Struthio camelus: one gene and its partners. The protein of the gene in region 1 interacts with the protein of each later gene in a pairwise test. Links are inferred from orthologs where the notes say so. Each region holds a gene or a part of one and is shown on either strand. Other genes may lie near its edges.

The links.
Region 2: the proteins of GOLGA2 (region 1) and TRIM29 interact in binary tests that used the Homo sapiens proteins (3 or more experiments, as listed by UniProt). The two-hybrid records come from large-scale screens. The link is inferred for Struthio camelus from reciprocal best matches to the Homo sapiens genes GOLGA2 and TRIM29.
Region 3: the proteins of GOLGA2 (region 1) and CYB5R2 interact in binary tests that used the Homo sapiens proteins (3 or more experiments, as listed by UniProt). The two-hybrid records come from large-scale screens. The link is inferred for Struthio camelus from reciprocal best matches to the Homo sapiens genes GOLGA2 and CYB5R2.

Annotation. Positions count from the first base shown.
Region 1 is NC_090961.1:7,531,723-7,538,802, reverse strand, and holds the start of GOLGA2 (golgin subfamily A member 2), read left to right. Parts: upstream 1-4,044; 5' UTR 4,045-4,090; coding exon 4,091-4,138; intron 4,139-5,187; coding exon 5,188-5,310; intron 5,311-5,699; coding exon 5,700-5,780; intron 5,781-7,080. Other genes in the region: DNA repair protein SWI5 homolog, read right to left, coding at 78-142, 600-694, 1,629-1,750, 2,564-2,612, 2,730-3,019. UniProt on the Homo sapiens protein: Peripheral membrane component of the cis-Golgi stack that acts as a membrane skeleton that maintains the structure of the Golgi apparatus, and as a vesicle thether that facilitates vesicle fusion to the Golgi membrane.
Region 2 is NC_090963.1:3,724,183-3,731,747, reverse strand, and holds the start of TRIM29 (tripartite motif-containing protein 29), read left to right. Parts: upstream 1-4,553; 5' UTR 4,554-4,758; coding exon 4,759-5,616; intron 5,617-7,565.
Region 3 is NC_090946.1:25,746,463-25,753,473, forward strand, and holds the start of CYB5R2 (NADH-cytochrome b5 reductase 2), read left to right. Parts: upstream 1-3,999; 5' UTR 4,000-4,027; coding exon 4,028-4,075; intron 4,076-4,222; exon of another isoform or gene 4,223-4,251; coding exon of another isoform or gene 4,252-4,293; coding exon 4,294-4,392; intron 4,393-4,585; exon of another isoform or gene 4,586-4,636; coding exon of another isoform or gene 4,637-4,651; intron 4,652-4,749; coding exon 4,750-4,893; intron 4,894-6,196; coding exon 6,197-6,269; intron 6,270-7,011. UniProt on the Homo sapiens protein: NADH-cytochrome b5 reductases are involved in desaturation and elongation of fatty acids, cholesterol biosynthesis, drug metabolism, and, in erythrocyte, methemoglobin reduction.

The sequences.
Region 1 (7,080 bases):
TAAATAGGTATGACACCAAAACCCAACGGCCCAGTAATAGGCATCTTTGCAGGACACTGTAGTCTTCAGGTTCAATACTAGTCGCTAAGCTCCAGATCATATTCAGGGTATAGCTGCTTTGTGGTAACCCCTCGAATAACAGCTAGAAAAGAAACACACACCATTACTTTCATTAAACGAACAGTAGGTTAGCCACAAGAGTTGCATTTTGCTTTCACTAACCCCCTAACTATCCTAGAACCTCCCATAGCTAAGAAAACAATCAAAAATTCTGTAGCTATGCCTCCTGCTTGCCCCATTTTTTTAAACGTGAAGAAATGGTAAAAGAAAGTAATAAGATTAATCAAATTTTGATAACCCGTAACACATAATAAAACACCTGCAAGTGTCAATTATTTCATATGCTGCTCAGGATATGTCCAGTTCCCAAAAGATTCCAAAGAAATAATGACAGAATCATTTGTGCTTGCACAAGTGATTTTAGTAAGAAGCCTAGAATTGCAGAATCTTTAAAATAAGCTACGCCTTCACAGCGTAGCAGCTTCTCTTTCTATCTAGATGAAAAAATTTACTAAGAAGCTGTTCATCTCCTTCCTTACCCAGCTTGCCTAACAGCATCTGTCCAGCATCTTTAATATCATTATACTCATGGAGCAGGGAGATGTGTTTCTCCAGTTCTTCCAGACTGTAGCCTCTGTAACAATAAATCCAGGAAGGTTAAAAAAAAAAAAAAAAAAAAAAAATCACGACACAGTGTGACAGCATGACTGCTGCTGCTACATAGTGAGCAAATTAAAGGTCTGTTTACCCTTGAGGCTTAAAAGAAACAGCAGCTTTTGGAATTGAATTCATTGTTCTATGATTTCCCAATCCATTTTAGGCACTATACACATTATTTTAGAAGATACCACTCACTACGTATAACCCACAGAGGTTCCCCCGCTTAAACAAACACACAACACAACCCCCCCCCCCCAAAAAAAAAAACCACACACAGCAATTTTTTCTCAAACCAGTCTGAAAAATCCCAAAATAGTTTGAGAAAACCCTGGTGATCCCAAAATGTGTCATAAGGAATCACACTAAAACAGCTGCACTATCCTGTATGCGGCACCCATTAAGCCAAAATGTTCTGCAGGGCATTTGCTTGTCAGGAAAACACCCCTGCTTCTTGAACACAAAGGTCAATACTTCCAACAGCTCACCTCAGACACAGAACAAGTGAGCACCACATCCACATGGAACAAGGGAAACAGTTTAATCTGAACAGGTCAAAAGTCATGATCTCCATTTTCAATTCCATATGAGCAAGCAATTTTGGTAACACATCCTGATGGTTCAAATTAGTCATTCCCAGTTTACAGTAACATCTGAGGTTAAGTCAAAAGTCTTCTCGTCTCAGCTGTAATATCGCTTTCTTTGCTTTACCAAATAAACAGGAAAGAATTCCCTGTTGTCTTTAACTGGTCCCATAATTCAAACAATATTGTAATGAGCATTACATAACAATATGATAAAACAACCAATGTAACAGGTCAGCTTTTAGTTCTAACTCCTGGGCCACGTTTAGTTTTAAAAGTAAAAATACTGAGGCCTCACACTGAACATTGAGCTTGCCAAGGACATACTCAGACAAAAATTGTGCAATTTCCTGGTCTAGAGCGAGGTCTTTCTGTTTCAGCTCTTCAATTTCATACTGCAGGGCTTCTTCACTGGCTCCATTAGGTTGGCAGGACCTTGGAGATGGGATCTGCAGAGCACAGAACACATTTAACATTCCACTCACTCAGCATGGGATAAGATACTATTGTGCCAGAAGGAACTGATCAGAAGATACATTAAGCATCACTGGGCAAACAAAAGGGAAAAAAAAGGGAGGGGGCTAGACTCAAGTAAAGTATTTCTCAATATATTTAATGTCAGCCGGCTCTATTTTATAATAAATCTTATTCTACAGCATTTTGTACTTTTACAGTGCTAAGGGAAAGATTACAATCTGGCTTTTCAAACAAGTTCCCAGGATGATGCAGTGTTGCATACTGACACAACTCCAGGCTGCCAGTTACTCAAGAGATGCCGTTGAGCAGTTTAGATGTCGTTTACCCTGATAAAGCACTAAGGCAACAGGCAATTTCACTCTCCAGGAAAAAGAGCCATTGCTACGCCAGTGTGAATCATCACAAACACTGGGACCAACTGCTGTTTCAGCTGAGACTTCAGTGACTACAACAGGCCACGGGAACTGAACTGTCACCGCAGAAGTCATCTCTCTGAGGCAGACATGAAGCCGTACGGACAGAACGGGCAGGAAGGTTGCTCTGCTGCCCCTGGAGCTGAGGGAGGGCACTGCACGCTGCCGAGTTTCTTCAGACGGGGAGAAGAGCCCGCGTAAGGAAAAGCAGCTCCCGGCAACCCGCGCCTTACCCCGCTCTCCGAGAGAGGAAAGGCGCCGGCAGGAGGCGGCAGGCCCCAGCGGGGACGTCACCGCCGAGGGGGGACCACCACCGCCGAGGGGGGGCCGCCGGGCGGCCGCGCCTCCCCCCGCAACAGCACGGGGACTCACCGGCGACTTGAAACCGGCTGTGCCGCTCCGCCGGGCGCCACCGGGGGTCCTGGGCAAAGCAGAGGGAGGCGCCGCGTCAGCGGCCGGGCAACCGGGCCGGGCCGGAGCCCCGGGGGAGAGGGAGAGGGGACCCGAGAGGCGGGCAGGGCCAGGAACCAGCTCCTACCTCTTCGGGACAGGCCGGAGCGGCGGGCAGCTCCCGCTGCGCCCCGAGCCCGGCGGGGACCCCCCCGGCGGCGGCGGCGGCTGCTCCGCCAGGGCCACCGCCTCACGCCAGCACCGCGCGGACCCCGCCGCCGCGGGGCGCGCCGGGAGCCGTAGTCGCGCCGCCGCGGGGCGCGCCGGGAGCTGTAGTCCCGCGGGGGTGGGACCCGGTCCCCGAGGCTGCGGACGGGCGCTGAGGAATGCATCTTCCCGTCTGAAACTACAGGTGAAATCGGCGGCGGGGCAGAACATAACCAGGCAAATAAGCCCAGCCGGGAGCTCTTCCGTTGGCACCGAGTGTTTCTGAAAACGCCTTCGAGCCTTCCAGGTGCCACAGCCTTGTTTCCGCGCCGCCAGCGGCAGGTTTCCCCGAGGCCGGGTGCCGGCGGTCCCTCGGGGACCTGCCTCCAGCCCCTACTTTCCTAGGCAGAAAGCCGCCGCCGCCGGTGCCACCAGCGGCAGCGCGCGTCGTGCCCGGCTGGGCCCCGCGAGGAGGGACGCGCTGGCTGGGAGGCCACCACCGCTCCAAGGTGCGCTTCGAGACCTCCCGCCTGCCAACCCGCCGCTGGATATTCCCCCCGCACCCCGAGCAGGCCGAGGTCAGGTAGGACGCCAACAGCAGCAGCGGGAAGCAGGATCAAACTCAGAAGAGTCAGATATAAACCGTCAGGCTTGGCAACCTGGGCCGCGTCCAGCCGCCCCACCTGCGCGTCCGTCCCTAGCCATCATCTGCTTCACCTCCTCCGAGAAGGCAGAGAAAATAAATCGCCTCCTCCGAGAAGCCGGGGAGAATGAGACAATTCCTGTCTTGCTCCTTGGTTGGGTGCAGAGTTTCCTTCCCTGCTGGCCAAAGGCAGACGTCCCTGTGCAGCGCCAAGCGCTGGCAACGGGCCTTTTACGTTCCCTGGCCGAGCGCGCAGGCCAAATCCCGCTGTTGCCGACTCGGAAGGTCAAAGGATGCGGGAACGGGACTACAAACCAGCAAAACACAACCCCCTTTACTGGCCAAACACAACCCCCTTTACTGGCCGTAACTGCGGTGGGGGGGGGGGGGGATCAGGCACCGAAGCGATGCAGGCAGGGCAGCCGGCTCTGTAGGACAGGGCCTAGAGAGGGGGAGGGACGCTTGCCCCGCTGAGACCGGCCCTTCTCCGGCGGCCCGACTGCCGCAGGCGGCCCGTTGGGCGGCTCGGGGCCGGGGCCGCCCTGCGGCGGGGGCCGGGCCGGGCGCGATGGCGGCGGCGGCGGGGCCGGGGCGGAGCCTGGCGGCCGCCTGCGCCGCTCGCCCTGCGCCGGCTGACGTGGCCCGGGCCCGGCTCGGACATGGCGGACGGCAGCAGGCAGAGCAAGCTGGCCGCGGCCAAGAAGAAGGTGCGGGGCCGGCGTGGAGGGAGGGAGGCGGCGCGGGGAGCGGAGCGGGGCGGCGGGGCGCCGGCCGGGCTCGTCTGCGCGCTGCCCCGCGCTGCCCGTTCGCGGCGGCCGCGGAGGGGGCTGAGGCCCGGCCCGGCCCGGCCCGGCTCGGCTCGGCCCCCGGGTGCGGCGGGGCCGGCGGCAGCGGGGCGCGCTGCCATTTTGAGCCCCGCGGCGCGGCGGGTCTGGCCTGGCCTGGCCCGGCCCCGGGCCTCGGGCCCCGCGGCCGCTGCCTGCCGCCCTGGGGAGAAGCGGGTGGTTTGCGTGAGTGCTGGGGGCTCGCTCCCGCCGGGGGTTTCGCTGTCTGAAAGACACCGGCACTGAAAGACTGAGGGAAAGGCTTAGAAAGGTGCAGTTTAGGGCTCACCTGTCTAGCTTTTCCTAGGGAAAATGGAAACTGTTTTAAATCCGGCCGCGGAGAGCACAGTCAAGCCCGTTTTTATAAACGGAGCCGTTGGTTTGCTCCATGATGTCGTTTGTCCCCCCAGTTCGGAGCTGCAGCGTCTGTGTCGGCGTGTTGTCTGTCGGGGAGGCCTGTCCTTTTCCTTCTCAAACTCTTTGGCAGAAGGGCAGAGCTTGCTCTCAGGCGCTGCTTTTTCACTTACTATTCAGGATTAATTGCCTTTTATTAATTTCACCTTATTGCTCTTGGTTATAACCCTAAAAGTCATCAAAGTTATTTATTTCCTTTCAGTTGCAGTAAAGGATGGCACGTTCTTTCCTTCCCATAGCCAAATTTCATTGGTTGCATAGCAAAGCTGCGCGTTTGCAACCCTGAGTCTCTGGCCCCAAACCCATCGCACCAGCTCTCAATTTAGCCTTCTCGACTTGTTCTAACTTTTTTCAGAGAAACTCTTCAAAGACAGTTGCTCATGTCTCTATGCCTGATCTCCCTTTTTACCCCGTGATCTTTTTATTCTTTTCATTATTTGTTGACCTTGTAGCTGTAGAAGGCACGTTCCATTTGTGGACTTCAGATTCTTCTTTTTTTCCCCCCTCCCCCCCCCCAGCTGAAGGAATATCAGCAGAAGAATAGCCCTGGAGCAACTGCGGGAGCCAAGAAAAAAAGAAAAACTAAAGAAGGAAGTAGACCTGAGACTCCCACAAATGATGACCAACAGTCTCCAGAGAACGTAAGTATTCCATTCTTTCTCCCAAATCATTAGCCACCTTGTTGTTCTTTGGTTTCCCATACGACCTGACTACAGGAGGAGGAGGAGGGTTTTGCCGGTGTAACATATGAATGGCTGAGATGCTGGTATTACCAGTTTATGAAGTGAGCTACAATGGTTAGCGACTAAAATCCCTTGAAGGCGCACGCTAGCGTCAGGGTTTATGGCGAAGCAGTGTTTGATCGTACAGGGGTACAGTGCAACCCTGGGTATGTCCAGAGCTGTTGTTTTGAGGCGTATCCTCCTAACGAGCTGGAGGGTGCCAGCTTCTGTGGCTACCTTTGATTGGTATTTTCTCTCTGTCCTTTTCTGAGCCATTTCTCTTTCCACTTTTCTTTCGCCTCCTTTAGATTCAGAACATTCTGAAGGTGCTGGTGTCAGACCTTAACCGCTCCAATGGGGTAGCCATACCCTCATTGGACAAGAGGAAGGTGAGGCAGTGCTCCGCGTCCCTCTCGGTGACTTGCTGTCCCTACTGCATGCTTCCAGTTCTGTTCAAACCGACTCTGATTTTCGGGTGGAGTCTCGTTCTGACGCATCTGCTGTCAGTTGCTTGAGTTTTGTTGCTGTTTTCATTAACATGGAGCTATTTCTTAACATGCCTTTCCGTTGTTTGTGAGAGTGTGTTTCCTTCTGGTTTGTGTCAAACTTAACAAGTGAAGAAGTGAACCTTGTCAAGAACTTTTTCTTGGGACAGTCAAGCTTTGGGGAATATCAGGAATTTGGTGTGAGGCAATGAACAATGATGAGTGACTGCCTTTACTATATGATGAGTTTCCAAGAAGTTGTAGCAAAGGGGCGTAAAAACCTGTCTGGCACTAGGAAAAGGTAGTGTTCTCTCAGTCTCTATTTCTGCTGTTTTGGGTATCACTGCTTTCTTTCCCAGTGCCTTGTTTCTGAGGGGCATGTTTCTGCTCATCTCTAGTCAAGGAGCTGCCATGAGTAAGCTATGTAGTTATTCCAGCCAAGCCATTTTATGACGGGTGATGAAACTTGCACAGGTGATGCACACTCTGGCAAGTACTATGATTTTAAATATGTTTAGGCAGGAGGTCAGATATTTCAAGTCAAGCATTTATGGCCTTCAGGGTCTTCTTGTTCCCTGGCTCCTGGAGATGAAAGGGAAGGAAATACTTCAGTGAGCAATAAAAATGTGTTCAGGAGCGAACTTACATCAGCCTTTTATTTGTAGGTAATCAGTTTACTGGAAGCTAGAATTGTGATAGGAAAGTCAAAGTTTGTAGCCCAGAATTTTCTTCCAATTTTGTTACACTAAAGCTCTGCTTCCCAGTGTCACTTGGTTGCACCATCATTTTGACTGCATACCTTTCCACCCTCATTTTCAAGTCTAGTTGTCACAAAATAAACCATTTATTATATTTACTGCTTATCCACTTCTCTCCAGCAATAAATTGAGCTATCGTAATCACCAGGAGCGTTAGGTGGATGCAGGTGAGGATGGCTGTTCTGGGGCTGCTGCTGAGATGGCACTTGGTCTTGAAATGAAGGCCTGACTGTGTCTACGGTTTGTTCTGTTCGGAAAATGGAGAACTTACTACTTCTGTTCATCCTTGTTTTCCAAATTTTTTTTTTCCCTCAGCTTTCTCAGCTTGGAGAAATATGTGAAATATGTTTTGATCTGATTGGCTATTACAAACGTTCTTTTATCTTGGAATTTGTGGATTATTGTGTATGTAGTGTTAAGAGTAACTTGAAAACTAATCTTTAATT
Region 2 (7,565 bases), on another chromosome or scaffold:
GATACGTGTGAAAGCAGCACAAAGCCTTGAACTCGTTCTGCCTGCTCTGCTGTTACACTGGGAACTATATAATGCATGGGCATTGCTCAGTGGTGTCTACACGCTTGATAGATTCATCTCCCGTGCTCTTTCTTGTAGCAGGAATAGCCTGCATATATTTCACCACAACATTTTCTGAGTTGTAAACTTACTTTATACAAAGGCATAAGATACAAAGGACAGAAAATATACAGAACGTGAAAGGGAGCGTCGATCAGTGGGTAAAGCAGAGGGCAGGCAACTAGCAGGCAGGTTCCCTGCTCCTAGTTTTGTCAGAGCTGCTCTGAGAACCAGGGTCAGTGAATCACGGGCTGGTTGATCTTATTCTCAATGACTCTCAATGACTTAATCTGTCATCGGTGTTTGAAAATCTGCTCCAAAACCTGTCTAAAGGAGTGCCCCAGGGTTGGCTTAACTGTTTCTGTTCTATCTAGTTTGAAATGAACCCAATTTTTTCCACTTTCTCAGTCCTAGGGAAATTTTTTTTTAGGTATCAGCCTTGCACATTGGAAACCCTTTTGTACAGGCAGTAAACTACCTGAATTTAAGGGTGAATCAGAACTGATGGTGAAAAAAATGAAGCTGAAAATCAAAATAAAAGCAGATGTTCAAAAAGCATTAAGGAGTTAAGGGTGTCACATGCATGAAAAATAATAGGAAAAGAATGAGCCAGCAAAAAGTCAGAGAGCAATTTTATAAGCAAGTTTCCTTTTACTTGACAAATTTCTGCCAGTGCCACAATGTGTGCCTCAGTTTCCCTAATTGCTACATGAGGTTAGCAACCCAGACTTATTTTGCAAAGGTGTTGTCAAATTTAATTTGTGAACCTTTGAAAAACGCTCTGAGTTTTTCAGATGAAAGACACTGTAAATGCCAAACATGGGTGTATACTCTGAGTCAGAGGTATAGACACGGGCATATTGTGTGATCAGCCCAACGCAGTGCACTAGATAGGAGATGGCTGTCCTCTGCAGAAAACGTAGGGATGGCTGGTGCAAAAACCACAGGCGATGCTTACACAGGTGTGAACTCATGCTACAGAAATCAAGAGTCACCCTCCGGTAAGTGGAAGATAAAGCCTGCATTAAGAAGAAGTCCAGTCTAAGCTGCACTTTCAGGCAATTTAGAAGTTAAACATGTATGTGAGTGGAAGTCTTCTAAATATGTCTGGGGACTGAGATACAGCTTGTCTAACGCCCTTTAACTAACTAGCAAACTACCCTTCAACCCCATGAGCCCTTCTGAGCCTTCCAGGGCAAGCTGTCCAGCCGAATTCGCCAGCATTGGTGGTGGCTGTGAACAACCCCACTAAAGACTGCACGCATCTCAAGTTTCAGACCAGTATGAACAGTTGATTTCCCAGGAGAGGCTGCAAATAACAAGTGGCAGGTGGGTCCCATCCGCAAGCAACGTTTTGGCATGAAACAAATCTATGAGCTTTCACGAGGTGCAGAGAGGTGATGGGCAAAAGAGCACGCTCAGCCTTTGGCTATGGAGCCAAGTTGCATTGCCAGGCTGCCGGGCAGCGGTGGCGATGTACTTAGCGCTCACTGGTCACACCTGAGCCTGCCACGGTTTCCTTGCAAGCAGGAAGCACCCGAGGCTTTCACGCCAGGCGTGTGGGATCCTGCGAGAGCGAGCTGAGGTTGAAAGGGGACCAGTGAAAGTGGTATTACGCAGCAGTGACTGGCAGCAGCGGGTGATGTTCCTGATGTACACAAGTGACATCCTTGCTTGCTTTCTGCAAACTCAAGGGAAATTCAGCCCAGGAAACCGGCAGACAGACTCCAGGCACTGTCCTCCTCGAGAAATCCAGGTGGCACTTCCCTGTTGCTACTGGCTGTCAGATAGGTCTGTTTTCTTTCCTTGCGCAGGGATGAACAAGAGCGTCTCCACTAGTCTGTATACCTGCACACGGCCTCCCTCCTCCTGTCTGACACAGCGAATCTGAGCTGAAGATCCTCCAAATTAAGCGGCAAGGACAGATACCACCCAAGCTACCCAAAAGCAAATCCTCGACCTGAGGCTTTATGAAAAACACTGACCATCAGGAGGGCTGACAACAGTCTATCTAAATCTGATCTGAACAGCATTAGATGACAGGAATTACACTGTCTTACGTCTCAGGTATGGCAACACCTCACCAGCATTGCAACAAACGGAGGAGCTGAAGCAGGGGCTGACATCAGGGTATGCCAGGCATAGCGCAGCCATAACCTGACTTACTGGAGTGCCCAGTCTTGTAATGAGAATCATGTGTGCACCTTTGCATGGGCAGAAGATTCTGCAATAATCTGGATTCTGAGCTCAGTTACTCATGAGTCTGTCTGGGAGAAGTGCATTAAACTCAACTACTCTGAATTTGAGTCAGTAAAACCAGGATGAAGGAACTCAGTCCTTAATCTTTTGACTGCCTTACCTAGTCCAAAATCTTAGCAACCTGTCAGGAAAGCAAGAGAAATCAAAGCTTCCTTCTTCCACATTAGACTTCTTCATGCATACATTTTTGTTTCTTAAATATTAACGCTAGCATGAAAAAGCTCTGCTGAGTCTTTTCCGTACACATGAGATCAGGCACCTCCGCCCTCCAGTATTTTTAATTACCTGGAGATCTATAGGACTGCTGATGTTATGAAAGATCAGCTCAGCACAGAAAACCAGGAGAACGAAATACATATATATATATATATATATATATCCGCTAATATTTTTCTTCTGAGATTCTTTTTTAAAAAAATAGCATTGCCCTTTCCTCAGCCAAGGAATGCTTTCTGAGTCAAGAAACACAGTGTGGGACCACTGCGGTCCCACATTCATAAAACTGGCAATTAGAAATGACTGCAAAAGGGGGTATTTCCCAACACCACTTTTCCAAAAAATACTATATACTGAATTATTTCTCACATGCAGAGAGCCATATCTACACACAGGCAGTAAGAGGGGCTGACCTATAGGCCAGGGATTCCAATCAGATTCCTTTTAAAGGCAGATATTTTCTCTATTTCCTTTTCTCTCATTTTGCATGGACAAAATCCTTTCATACCATATCTGTAAGACAGGCGCTTCATGGGTACCTCATTTTCACATCAGATCCAAAATGTATACTTTTCCCGTTTTGGGCTGCACTTCTATTTCCTCCACACCTAAGCAAAAGCTGCAAAGCGCAGACCCAGATTGTTCCCCCATTGCTTAGGACACTTCCAATAGGAGCTCTGTTGCGTGTTTTTGAGAAATCATTACAGTGTAAAAATCTTTGTCCAACAGTAACACCATTGCATTCTAAGAAGAAGAAATCAAGCACAGATCTTTGGCATCGTTAGCAATTGCACTGAATTTCAGTATATAATCTATGTTTAATTGATATATGATATGAGTGGAGGCTCAACCTCTTTCTTCTGAAGTTGTTGGAATTCAGCAGTGCTTATAGGGAACCTTTTTGTTCTGAAACATTCTGTGATTCCAGTTAGTTGAAAAACAGCCATTTTGGGGTGTGTATTTTCTTTTTTTAATGAAAGGAACATTTCATGAAATAATTTTGCCGCATGTGCCTTTCACTGTACCCTCCCTTTGCCAGTCATAGAGGTGAGAGATTAAAGGAAAGGCAGGGAAGAAAAGAAGGAAAACCAACTAAGTTGTTTTATTTCACGCTGAATGTATTTTTTTTTTGGACAAGAAGGTGAAGATTTCCAAGGAATACAACTAGTGCAGAGAGCAAGACCTATTTTTAAAACTCTTTTACAGTTCCTCCTTCTTGCAAGAAATATTTTGGCCATCTAGCTGTAAAATATTTCATCTTCCAGGTATATTACAACAGATTTCTCAGTTCAATGGACGTTTCTGGAAAGAGCTGAAGAAGGCACACCCGAATCCTTACTGCACAGGAAGAACGCAGTGCAATAGGCATTGGGGGTTACCTCTGCTAGTCACGTTAGCAGGGAACCTGCGGCAGGTGGGAAAAAGAAGATGCTAGTCAACTTTTGCTTCAGATCAACCGTGTTGATCTGATGCATGGATAGTCTATTTCTAGTTCCACTGAGGGATCTTGCAGAAAGCCAACATCAAAATCAAAATAATAGGGTCTTTTAAACACAGTATTATCCATACCTTTCCCCTCCCTGTGCTACTGAACAGAGTAAGCCCTCAAGGGAACCCAGTTTAAGAATGCTTTTATTCTAGCCGTTCATTTTAATTACAGCCATAACTACTTTTGCGCATGTGTATGACCCAGTTAACAAACCCATCTTCGGCATCTCATGGTCTCTCCAACCCTGCCCATCTCTGCAAGGAGGCAACCTCAGCTCCTGGCAACAATGAGCAAAATTATTTTTGAAACAAGCGGTAGAACTGGTTGCTACATCTTAAATGAAAATGATTTTTTTTTAAACATTTCTAAGGATATAAACAGCCCTTCCTCCCAAACCTGGTTAGACAAGAATGTTCCTGGGTGTGGACCGCCTTGTATAATTAACTGCACAGCTGCAGCTTCTAATCCCTAGTATAGTCTGTTTCTTCTCTCTGCCTCTACCTAGCATAATTCAGGCATTCTCCTCCTCCTTGCAGGAGCTCAAGGTGCGTCACTTGGGCAGAAACTTTCCTGCGTTCCACCTTCGTTCCTTGCTGAGACAACAACCGGTCAGACATACCCGCTTTGTAGAGGTTTGAGAGACGAGAAATCAGAGAAAAGACCGAGCAGTGAAGCCAATTTGCCTGGTTTACACAATGGAAACGGGGACTGCAGCAAGGACAAATGGTACCACTGGGAAGCCAGAGGATGTGAAGAGTCCATCCGCCCCCAAAAAAGAAGAAGAAGTGAAGAAGACCATGAACCTGGGTGGAGGTGAGAAGGAACCTATGAAGGGCACTGGCAGTGCTTCTCTGGAGACGGGGCAAATCAAGAGCTCCCTCTTCTCCGGGAGTGACTGGAAGAGGCCCATCATCCAGTTTGTGGAGTCATCTGATGAGAAGAGATCGACCTACTTCAGCATGGATTCGGGGGATTCAAAGAAGACGCAATATGCCAGTGGACAGATAGGAGACATGAGGAGACCCCCCCTCTCCTTTACCGATAAAGGTGATCTCAGGAAACCCCTCTTCTCCGTGGATTCCAAAAAGAGCTTCCTGCCTAGTGACGGGGAGGGGAGGAAGTCGTTATTCACTGGTGGGCAGATTGGGGACTTCAAGAAAACTTCCCTCCCTCTGGTAGAGACAGGAGACCTCAGAAGATCCACCTTCAACAAGCCTGACAGAGCTGCTGGGTCACGGCCCAGGGTGAAGCTGGAGGATGTTTTGTGTGATTCCTGCATCGATAACAAGCAAAAAGCCGTGAAGTCCTGCTTGGTGTGCCAGGCTTCCTTCTGTGAGCTGCACCTCAAACCTCATCTGGAGGGAGCAGCTTTCCGGGACCACCAGCTCCTGGACCCCATCAAGGACTTTGAAGCAAGAAAATGCCCCGTGCATGGAAAGACCATGGAGCTGTTCTGTCAGACAGACCAGATGTGCATCTGCTACCTCTGCATGTTCCAGGAGCACAAGAACCACAGCACAGTGACAGTGGAGATTGAGAAAGCGGGAAAAGAGGTAATGGTCTTTTTATATTGCACATTCCCGTCAGTCTTTCCAAGGAACCTCAATATCACACAGTGACTTTTGTTCCCCAGTCTGCAGTCTCTCCCAAAAGCACTGCTGCAGTGTTATTCTGGGATGCAAGGGTGGCGGATAGGAAGCGTTTAGTGGAGAACTGATACTGCTTGCCTTCTGCTGCAATTGTACTGTTGTTCTAATACCGGGATACAGTAGCATAGCACTGGTGTTGTGCAGCAGACTGTAGATCGGAGGACAGAGAACCTGGTTTCTACCCCTGGTTGCAACACTGACTTTCAGCAGGACCTGAATCAAAGCCCTCTATTCTCAAGTTTTCAGAAAAATGGGCTCAAGTTTGGACAGTGTTTGATTAGTGACATCCACAGGCAGAAAGGTGGGGCGCTGCTCACATTCAGGATCTCCAGAATGTAGGCGGTCAGATCAGCGGCTGCTCAAGTCAGTGGTTACTTTCCAAAACTGACATCTTAGCTACTTGAAGTGAGCTTGTGCTTTTTTTTCTTTTCTTTTTTTAAATTGAGATAATAGTATTGAGTCGCACCTGTGGAAAGAGACTTTTGAAGCTTAGATTAAAAAAACCTGTGTAAATGCAAAACATTATAATTCCTCTTGAAGTGTTAGTACAATACATTCAGAAGCTGGACATCTAACAAGATGAGCCAGGTACGGGAAACAGTGCTCACTCTAAGGAAAAGCCTTCCGCCTTTGTTTGCTTTAAAGAGATCAACAAAAAAGCAGTAAAACAATTTGACTCTAGTCACATAGCAGGTCCACCGCAGAAACTGGAAGTGCACCCAGTGCAAAATCCCAGTCAGAATCCCGAAGTCAGTGCTTTGATAGTGTAGTGAACAGGCGAATATAAGAACCTGACGTTGGGAATTCTTCAATGACCCTTAATTCAGAAGAATTTAACTCTTTCAACAGTGCTAGAAAGGTTTAACTCATAAGGCTGGAGGAGGCAGGTTGGAATAGCTTCTTATCTAGTGGTTTATCTGTCTTCTTTTGCACAATTTTTGGTCTTTGTTTGCGGTGTCAATCTCACCTTGCAGCCTTATTGAAAACAGATAGGAGGTTGCTCCATGTCTCAGCCAGTCTCTCTTAAAGAAATTTCTGCAGGGCTTGCTAAGTCTGCAGTTTACTTCATGCTCGTTGGTTCTTGCATTTTGATGTCAGCTGTGAACAACTTCACAGCATCTGCCTAACCTTCATAACTGCTGTGTCTAGTGTCTGTCGGGTTGTCCAGTTCCTCTTATCCCATTCCGTCAAGAACAGGTTAACGGTTGCTCCCTGAGGAACCAAAGCTGGCCAGAGCCTTCTTCCTGTGGTTGGATGGACCTAGAACATCTTGCCTGTAAAGAGGCAAGCATAACTGGGCACAGAAGCCTTTAAGATTCAAATGATATTCTTTGCTTTCTCTTTCCGAGTACTTGTGTCATTCTTATGAGTTCCATGCTTTAGTTCCTGTATTGTCAAGTGTTTTTTCTACTGCTGCTAAGCCTAGAGGATTTACGGTTTTATCAGCATGAATCATATATAAGTGCAAGCTTCTCCTGATGACAAGTTTTGATCATGCTGTAACTTGAGTGAGTATTCACCCAGACAAAAACAATTAACAGAATAGCTGTTGCTCACAAATGTTTATTCCTAGCCCTGATTTATTCACCATTGGTGGAGCCTTAGCAAGAACCACAAAGAAGAATGAACGTTTCCCAGTCCCTTGTGTGCACCACCTATTCCTTTCAAACCTTGCAGATCAAATGAGTTAGAACATGACCACAAATTGGAGCAGTGGCAGAGTGCGGCTGCTACTGGCCTTTGTGGAAAGAACAAGCAAAAACCCCGTATCAGGTCAACCCCATCCCTGCCCCATTTTCCTAGCTTGGCACACAAGCAGCTCCAGGGTAGTTTTACTGCCTGCACACTTGCTA
Region 3 (7,011 bases), on another chromosome or scaffold:
ACTATGGACAAACTCAGATAAGTTCCAAAGACTAAGTGTAAGGCACAACTGTGTTAAACTACTAATAGGTTGTGTGTGTTCTTTCTTTGATGAGCTTCTTTAAAGAAGCCTTTGGAAAGGGATAGCGGGAAAATTACCTTTACAATTTTTCACTGTGGAAGTTGAATGCTGTCCAGCTGTAGTGGTAGTTGGTATTAGCAGATGCATCAGTTTAACTATGCTAAGAGCAGTTGTGTCTATTCACTTGGGCCTGCTTCTGTTTTGCCTAACAGGAACAAGATGACTTAAAGTATCTGTAAAATTTCTATCTGCATATTAATCTAAAACAAGGATATCACTAGGTGTGTTCAGATTTAAAAAAAAAAGGGGGAGGGAAGAGGTGGGGGATGACAAACTTACAGGTGTATCAGTTGTATTAGCCCTATTTAATGCAGTGCATATAGACTAATAAATCGATGTCACTTTAAAAAATCCTTAACAATATTAGCGGTACTATCCTAGGTTATTTATATGTGACTTGATTGCTAAGGTACATACTTTTTGCTTGAGTATATGGTGTAGACTTTTCATATTTCTCCTAGTATGGCTTTACAAGTAGGTTAGTTTTACTTTTATTTGTTGTATCTTTTCAGCCTTCTATAAGCTGCCAGGACCTTTTAATACAATAAGTGGTAATACAAATGTGAAATGTTCTGTGATGCAAATGAAATCTGATTGAAAAATAAAAAAGTACTTCCAAAGGAGTTCATGTAATGGAATTGTATTTTAGTTTTTACAAAATCAAATTTGACTTGATATTATATTTCAAGAACAACAGGAGATCTCTGCTGGAATATGAATGGGCTGGGAGACCTAGATATCTGTTTGCTACTGCCAGAGTTAAACTAGTCTCTATTGTTCAGGCTTGAAAGATTGGCAGATACATCTCTATGCTGCACAAACATGTAGGATGGCACAGGTCCTATTCCATATGCTTTTACAACCTATTGTTTTTGCACGTAATTTATAAGGCTTAGGAAAAACAGAAGGAAAGAATGTGGGAGTAAGAAGCTGACATTAATGAACTGCATTCACACAGCTAATCTATATTCATAACATGACGTTTTGCAAATATAATTATTTTTCAAATCCTTGCACATTTTGCACAAAGATGTAAGGCAGGTACTTGTACCTTACAATGTATTGCATTACTGTTGTTCACTGTGTAAGAAGGATATTTGGCACATGCCGCAATGGATTATGGATTTGATTTATTTGAGTGGATGCTTGGAAAGTGTTGCTAGAGTAACAGAATTTGTGTGAAAAAAGTACTCATGAAAACACTTTAAAAATATGTGTACATAACTAAAACTTCTTGGACATAATGACCATAACCTTGATTCCCATGTTCACAAAGTCCACACCACCCCACTTAAGTACTTGACAATTGCATGAGATGTTTCTTAACTTTGCAGTCAAAAGGAAGGGGCGGAACTCGTTTACAAAGCAAATCGGGTTCCCTGAGCGCTTAAAATCTGGATATAAATCTTTTTTTGGCATATAATGACAAAATATCATCTTTGTAGTATCGTATGAAGGCTCATTGCATTGTTCACTGGCGCTGCACTTGATGAAATATTTATAATAAAAGTTTATGTATCCAACAAAAAAAAAAAACTTGTTCTGATCTTTAGTTAACAAAAGTCTTCCTGTTTAGCTCTGAAATGGTTGTCCTTCTCTGTACATGTGCATGCTGAGAGTCCAAACACATTGCCAGTGATACACTTTCTAGATAGCATTTACAGGTTTAGTTATTAAAACAGTTTTGTAACTTTTGTTGGAAAGGGGAGATCTTCATCTCAGAAGTGGAGATTATATGTTCATTATTAAATCGGTCTGGGAATAATACAGAAAGGGAAGTAACTGTTGCCTGAAATTTGAATTCTGGCTATATAGCCTGACAAAAGATGTTTAAAAACGCTATTCATCTCGGACTTCATGGCATTATCTGTGTGAATTCACTTGTTTCATAATTCCTTACTTTTCATAATTCCTTACTTTCCTCCTTTTCTTCATAGGACAGCAAAGCTACTTACTCCATCATGCATCGTACTGCTCCTAGTTGCTTGTGCTCTTGTGACCTCTCCAGTGAAGCCAGAGGAGCAATAGCAGAGCAGTGTCGTATCTCTCCTTAGATGGACTCTGTCTGGAAGTATGTACGACAGGTATTTCGTGGCTCCCTCTCCTCCTAGAGTGGGCCTGCATGAAAGGATCTGACCAGCGTAGTATTTAGATGGTACTACAGATCTACATTCTCATGTGGTCTCCCCAATTTTCTTCTCTTTTCACCTCGCCTTTTTTCCCTCTGTATCTTGTGAGGACAAGTGGCACAAGGGCAATTATTTTTTCAGATTCAGGAGTCACTTTCCTGTCATGTATTGGATGCACAGCAAACCTTTTATTTCTTCAGTTAAAGTGAATGGACTTGGTTCTTTGCACATGTTCAACAGGCTGAATTTAGTAATAACACCAGAGGAACTGTGGATGTCATGTCTATGTAAAATAAGTTGCAAGAAAAATGAATTGGGTTTGGTATTTTGAAGAAAAAATGAGTTTTATATAGAACAACATCTTGCCTTTGACTCAAGAGAAAGGAAAATAATAAGCAAAAGTTGAAGACTAATACTGTCCAGAGAAACAGTATTAAGAATAGTTAAAATAGAAAATGAAAAATACCCCTAAATTGTTCCCAGGTTCTACAAGATCCTTTACTTGCCTTTTTCGTACTGAAGAACTGAGTTTTGTTCTTGAGAGAAGATTAATGCTTCTTATGAAAAGTGCCACTGTTAATTGGCCAGCTGCGCAATTATTTGTCATAAGTACCTGAACACCTGCTTTAAAATTAGTGTAAAGACAGTCTTTAAAATTACAAAAATGCTGTGGATTTCAGGATAAATTCCAAGAAATAAGAATGTTTCTTGTCTCTGTTGTTTTTGTTCTTACTTTCCTTAGATCTTTTGTCACATGGATGTATGGTAGTGTCACTGAGGAAAGTTGCTGCCAGCTGACCATTACCTTATTGTAAGAAAATATGAGGTCATAGCACCTCAGTGGGAGAACCTAGTACGTTTAATCATGGAAAATGGTTTGGCCAGGCCTGGAGTTCCTGGGCTCAGTTTTGATATTCTAAAGATAGTGGCTACCTGTGATGCTAAGTTAAGGAGTTAATTTACTTCAACAGAGATGTAACACCCTGCTTTGAGCCTCTCTGTTTTCAGCAGCCTGCCTAATAGAGGACTGAATTATATGTTGATATCGATTCTCTTGCTTTTGAAGTCAGGTGAGGAAAACCAGTGGTAACAAAGGAAGGATTAAAGAAGAACAGTGTTTGTAAATCTTCTGGCCTTCCATAATTAGTAATATAGGAAACTGAATGCATTTTTCTTTCAATTTTTTTAGAAGTCGCAATACAAGCATTCCAAAAATTAATACATCATATGTATTATTTTATTTCCTTCTTGTACCACTGTCTACAGCTTGGCACACTGTGAAGTTATTCCTGGCATTCCTTCCTCATCGGTTTTGATCATTTTGTGGGTTTTTTTTTCCTCCTTACAAAGATGTCTATCTGCTGTGGGCTGTTTTTATTTTAGATAAACTAATCTGAACCTAATGGAGCAGACTTGGACTTCAGAGACTTGTATTTTCTCTTAACTAACTTTTCTGTGTGTCACCAGTTCTGTGCTCCTGTTCTGCGCTCAGTAGATTGAATAATGATACTTGGTCTCATGTTTTTTAAGGGGGAAAGGTGAAGTCCACAGATACCAAATGTTATGTTAGTGCTGCTTGTCACTATGTAAAAATTTTTCCTAGTGGATGGAGAAGAAAATAGGGAATAATTTCTGTTTCCCCCCACCATGCAAACTGAAGCTGAGCTTTCTTGCCTCCTTTCCCTGGTTCCTTTCCCTGTTAATTGGCTGTTTGGCAGTATTTGGCAACATGGACTGTGGATTGCACTGCAACATGCAATCTGCAAAGAGTATAGCAAATGCAAAGCCAGGCAGGAGCGCTGTCTCTGCCCGGCTGCCCCACTATTGTAATGCAGTCTTTGGTTTTAATCTTGGTGCAGGCTTAATGGTCTTTCATTAGGATTTGCAGCATTGAGGGAGGATGTTTGTGCATGAAAACGAGTTTTATCTGACTGTACCTGTGGCATGAATGAAAGATACCATCTTTACTTGTGAACTTTGTATTGTTTGATTATCAGGTTGCATGCTCCTTTGCCTGAAGGACTTCAACTTTGTTCTTTTGCAGGACACTGGCAAACTGGCAGACTGTGGCAAACTGGGACTGGACCACATCTCCTGCATCACTTGTTTTCTGCTGCTGAACGTGAAGGCGATGGGAATTGAGGTGGGAGAGTGCAGAGGAGGACCGCAGCCATGAGTGTGCCTACACGGCAGAGCTGGATTTTGCGGCTTTTTCTGTCCCCGGTTGTGCGCCCAGTGGGGCCGGCTGCTCGCAGGGCTGAGCTGGGAAAGCGCAGGCGGGCGCGGCCAGCGCTGCCCCGCGCCCCGGCTCGTGCCGCCGGGCGGGGCGGGGCCGGGCGGGGCCGGGCGGGGGGGGTGCCCGGCCGGGGCCGCTGCCTGCTGCCGCCATGGAGGCGCTGGGGGTGAGCGCCCGGCGGGGCGGGGGGCGGCGGCGCGGCCCCCGCGCGGGTGAGCGGCGGGCTGCCCCCACTCGACTGCCGCGGCTGCTCTTCTTTTGAAGGTTGCCTCCGTGGCCATCGCCGTGGTCGTGATAGCTGCGTCCGCCTTGCTGCTCCTGGCCAGAGGGGCAGGGCGGGGGAGGAAGAGCCCCGTCACCTTGCAGGACCCGCACGCGAAGTACCCGCTGCCGCTGCTGGAGAAAGAGGTGCCCGAGCGCCCGGTGCTGCCCTGCGCAGCCCTGCCACGGGGCGATGGGGGCGTCGGCCCCGCGGCCAGCCGTCGCCCCGGTGGGGCGGCCGGGACGGGGCCGGGGGCGGTTGGTCGGACCGTGGGGCCGGGGACGGGGGAGGGGGGCGGTTGGTCGGACCGTTGGCCGAGGACGGGGGCGGTTGGTCGGACCGTTGGCTGGGGACGGGGGAGGGGGGCGGTTGGTCGGACCGTGGGGCGGGGGAGGGGGCGGTTGGTCGGACCGTTGGCTGGGGACGGGGCCGGGGGCGGTTGGTCGGACCGTGGGGCGGGGGAGGGGGCGGTTGGTCGGACCGTGGGGCCGGGGACGGGGGAGGGGGGCGGTTGGTCGGACCGTTGGGCGGGGGAGAGGGGCGGTTGGTCGGACCGTTGGCTGGGGACGGGGGAGGGGGGCGGTTGGTCGGACCGTTGGCCGAGGACGGGGGCGGTTGGTCGGACCGTTGGCTGGGGACGGGGGAGGGGGGCGGTTGGTCGGACCGTGGGGCCTGGGAGGGGGGCGGTTGGTCGGACCGGTGGCTGGGGACGGGGCCGGGGGCGGTTGGTCGGACCGTGGGGCCGGGGAGGGGGCGGTTGGTCGGACCGTGGGGCCGGGGAGGGGGGCGGTTGGTTGGACCGGTGGCTCGGGGACGAGGGGAGAGGGAAGGGCGGTTGGTCGGACCGTTGGCCCGAGGGGGCAGGCAGTTGGTCACAGGCTCTCCTAGGTTTGGGGGACAGAGAAACATGCCTTGCCCTCAAAGGGCAGCAGTGACTGCCCACAGCCAGGGTGAGGTGTTACTCCGGAGTAGAGCAGGGTTCCTGAAAGCATTTATGTTTCTGCTGTAGTTCTGTAGTTACCTCAGAAAAAGGGTGGATTGATTTTTCTGTGTGTTTAAATCGTAATTTGGAGCTGTGTTTCTGCCTTGGTTCCTGTCTGACGTGCTCGGTGGGAAATGACCCCAGCAGCCTGCGTTTCTGCATGTTGTATCTTGCCTTGGCTGCAAAACGTGAAATGTGCTTAATGGCCTCGGGTGATAGAGGATTTACATACTTTTCTTACCTAAAGATGCTATAGGGGTTGCAGAATCAGGAGAAAGTCGCTCCTTGTTAAAGTGAAAAGACTGGGGCTCTAAAACTTCTTATCTGCTTAACCTTTGTTTTCAAGGCCGTTTCTGCATCGTTCCCTCGCATACTAACACCGAACAGGCTCACCAAAGCATAACGTGTTGGTTTCGAGATTGATTTTGATGGTGACCTCGTTCTATGTCTCCTTGTTTTTTCATTAGGAAATTAGTCACGATACTAAGAAATTCCGGTTTGGGCTACCTTCATTGGATAATGTATTAGGATTGCCTGTAGGTAAATACTGAAACATGTCTCTACTTTTATTGGTGATTTTAGGATTTATTACCTCTTTTCGTAGCTCTAGGTCTTCTAATTTTCTTTCCAAAGAAGATGGGAATTTAGTGCTCAGCAAAGAAAGGAGTTAAAAACTTGTGTGTCAGCAAGACATGTTAGCTTTCCTTGTGGGGTCATGTTTCTTACCTTTTGTGTGCACTTTATTATTGTGCTAAGTAGTATAGTATAGTTTTAGAATGAGAATAGTGAAACTGAACTGGGACCTGAATTACCTATTAGATAGGTAATAGATTACCTACAGGATGGGATCTGTCTGGGTTTTTAATGCTTCTTATTTGCATTCTATTTTTTTGTATCTGGTGCCCTCAATTGGGTTTGTACTTTATCTACAGTAATTATAATAGCTAGCTAGCAGACGCTTACAGTAGTATAGCTGTAATACAAAGGAGACCTGAGGAGGTTGCCCAAAACGTACTCTTACGGATTGTCCTTGCTGCTCCCATGGTGCTGGCAGTGCTCAGAGTAGCTGGTTGGATGCTGGTCATGGATATATTATTGTCAGCTGTACTCGAGCTTTTAACTAATACAGTTGCACCCTTAGATGAGAAAGAGCAACTCTTCTGCCTTAGAAGCTTGTAAATAATGTATGCAGAGCAATGGGGAAAATATGATTACTCTACGTAAAAGATGCTGCAATGTTCAGAGCATTTTCTATGCATGCATTTACCTTTGTTTTATATAA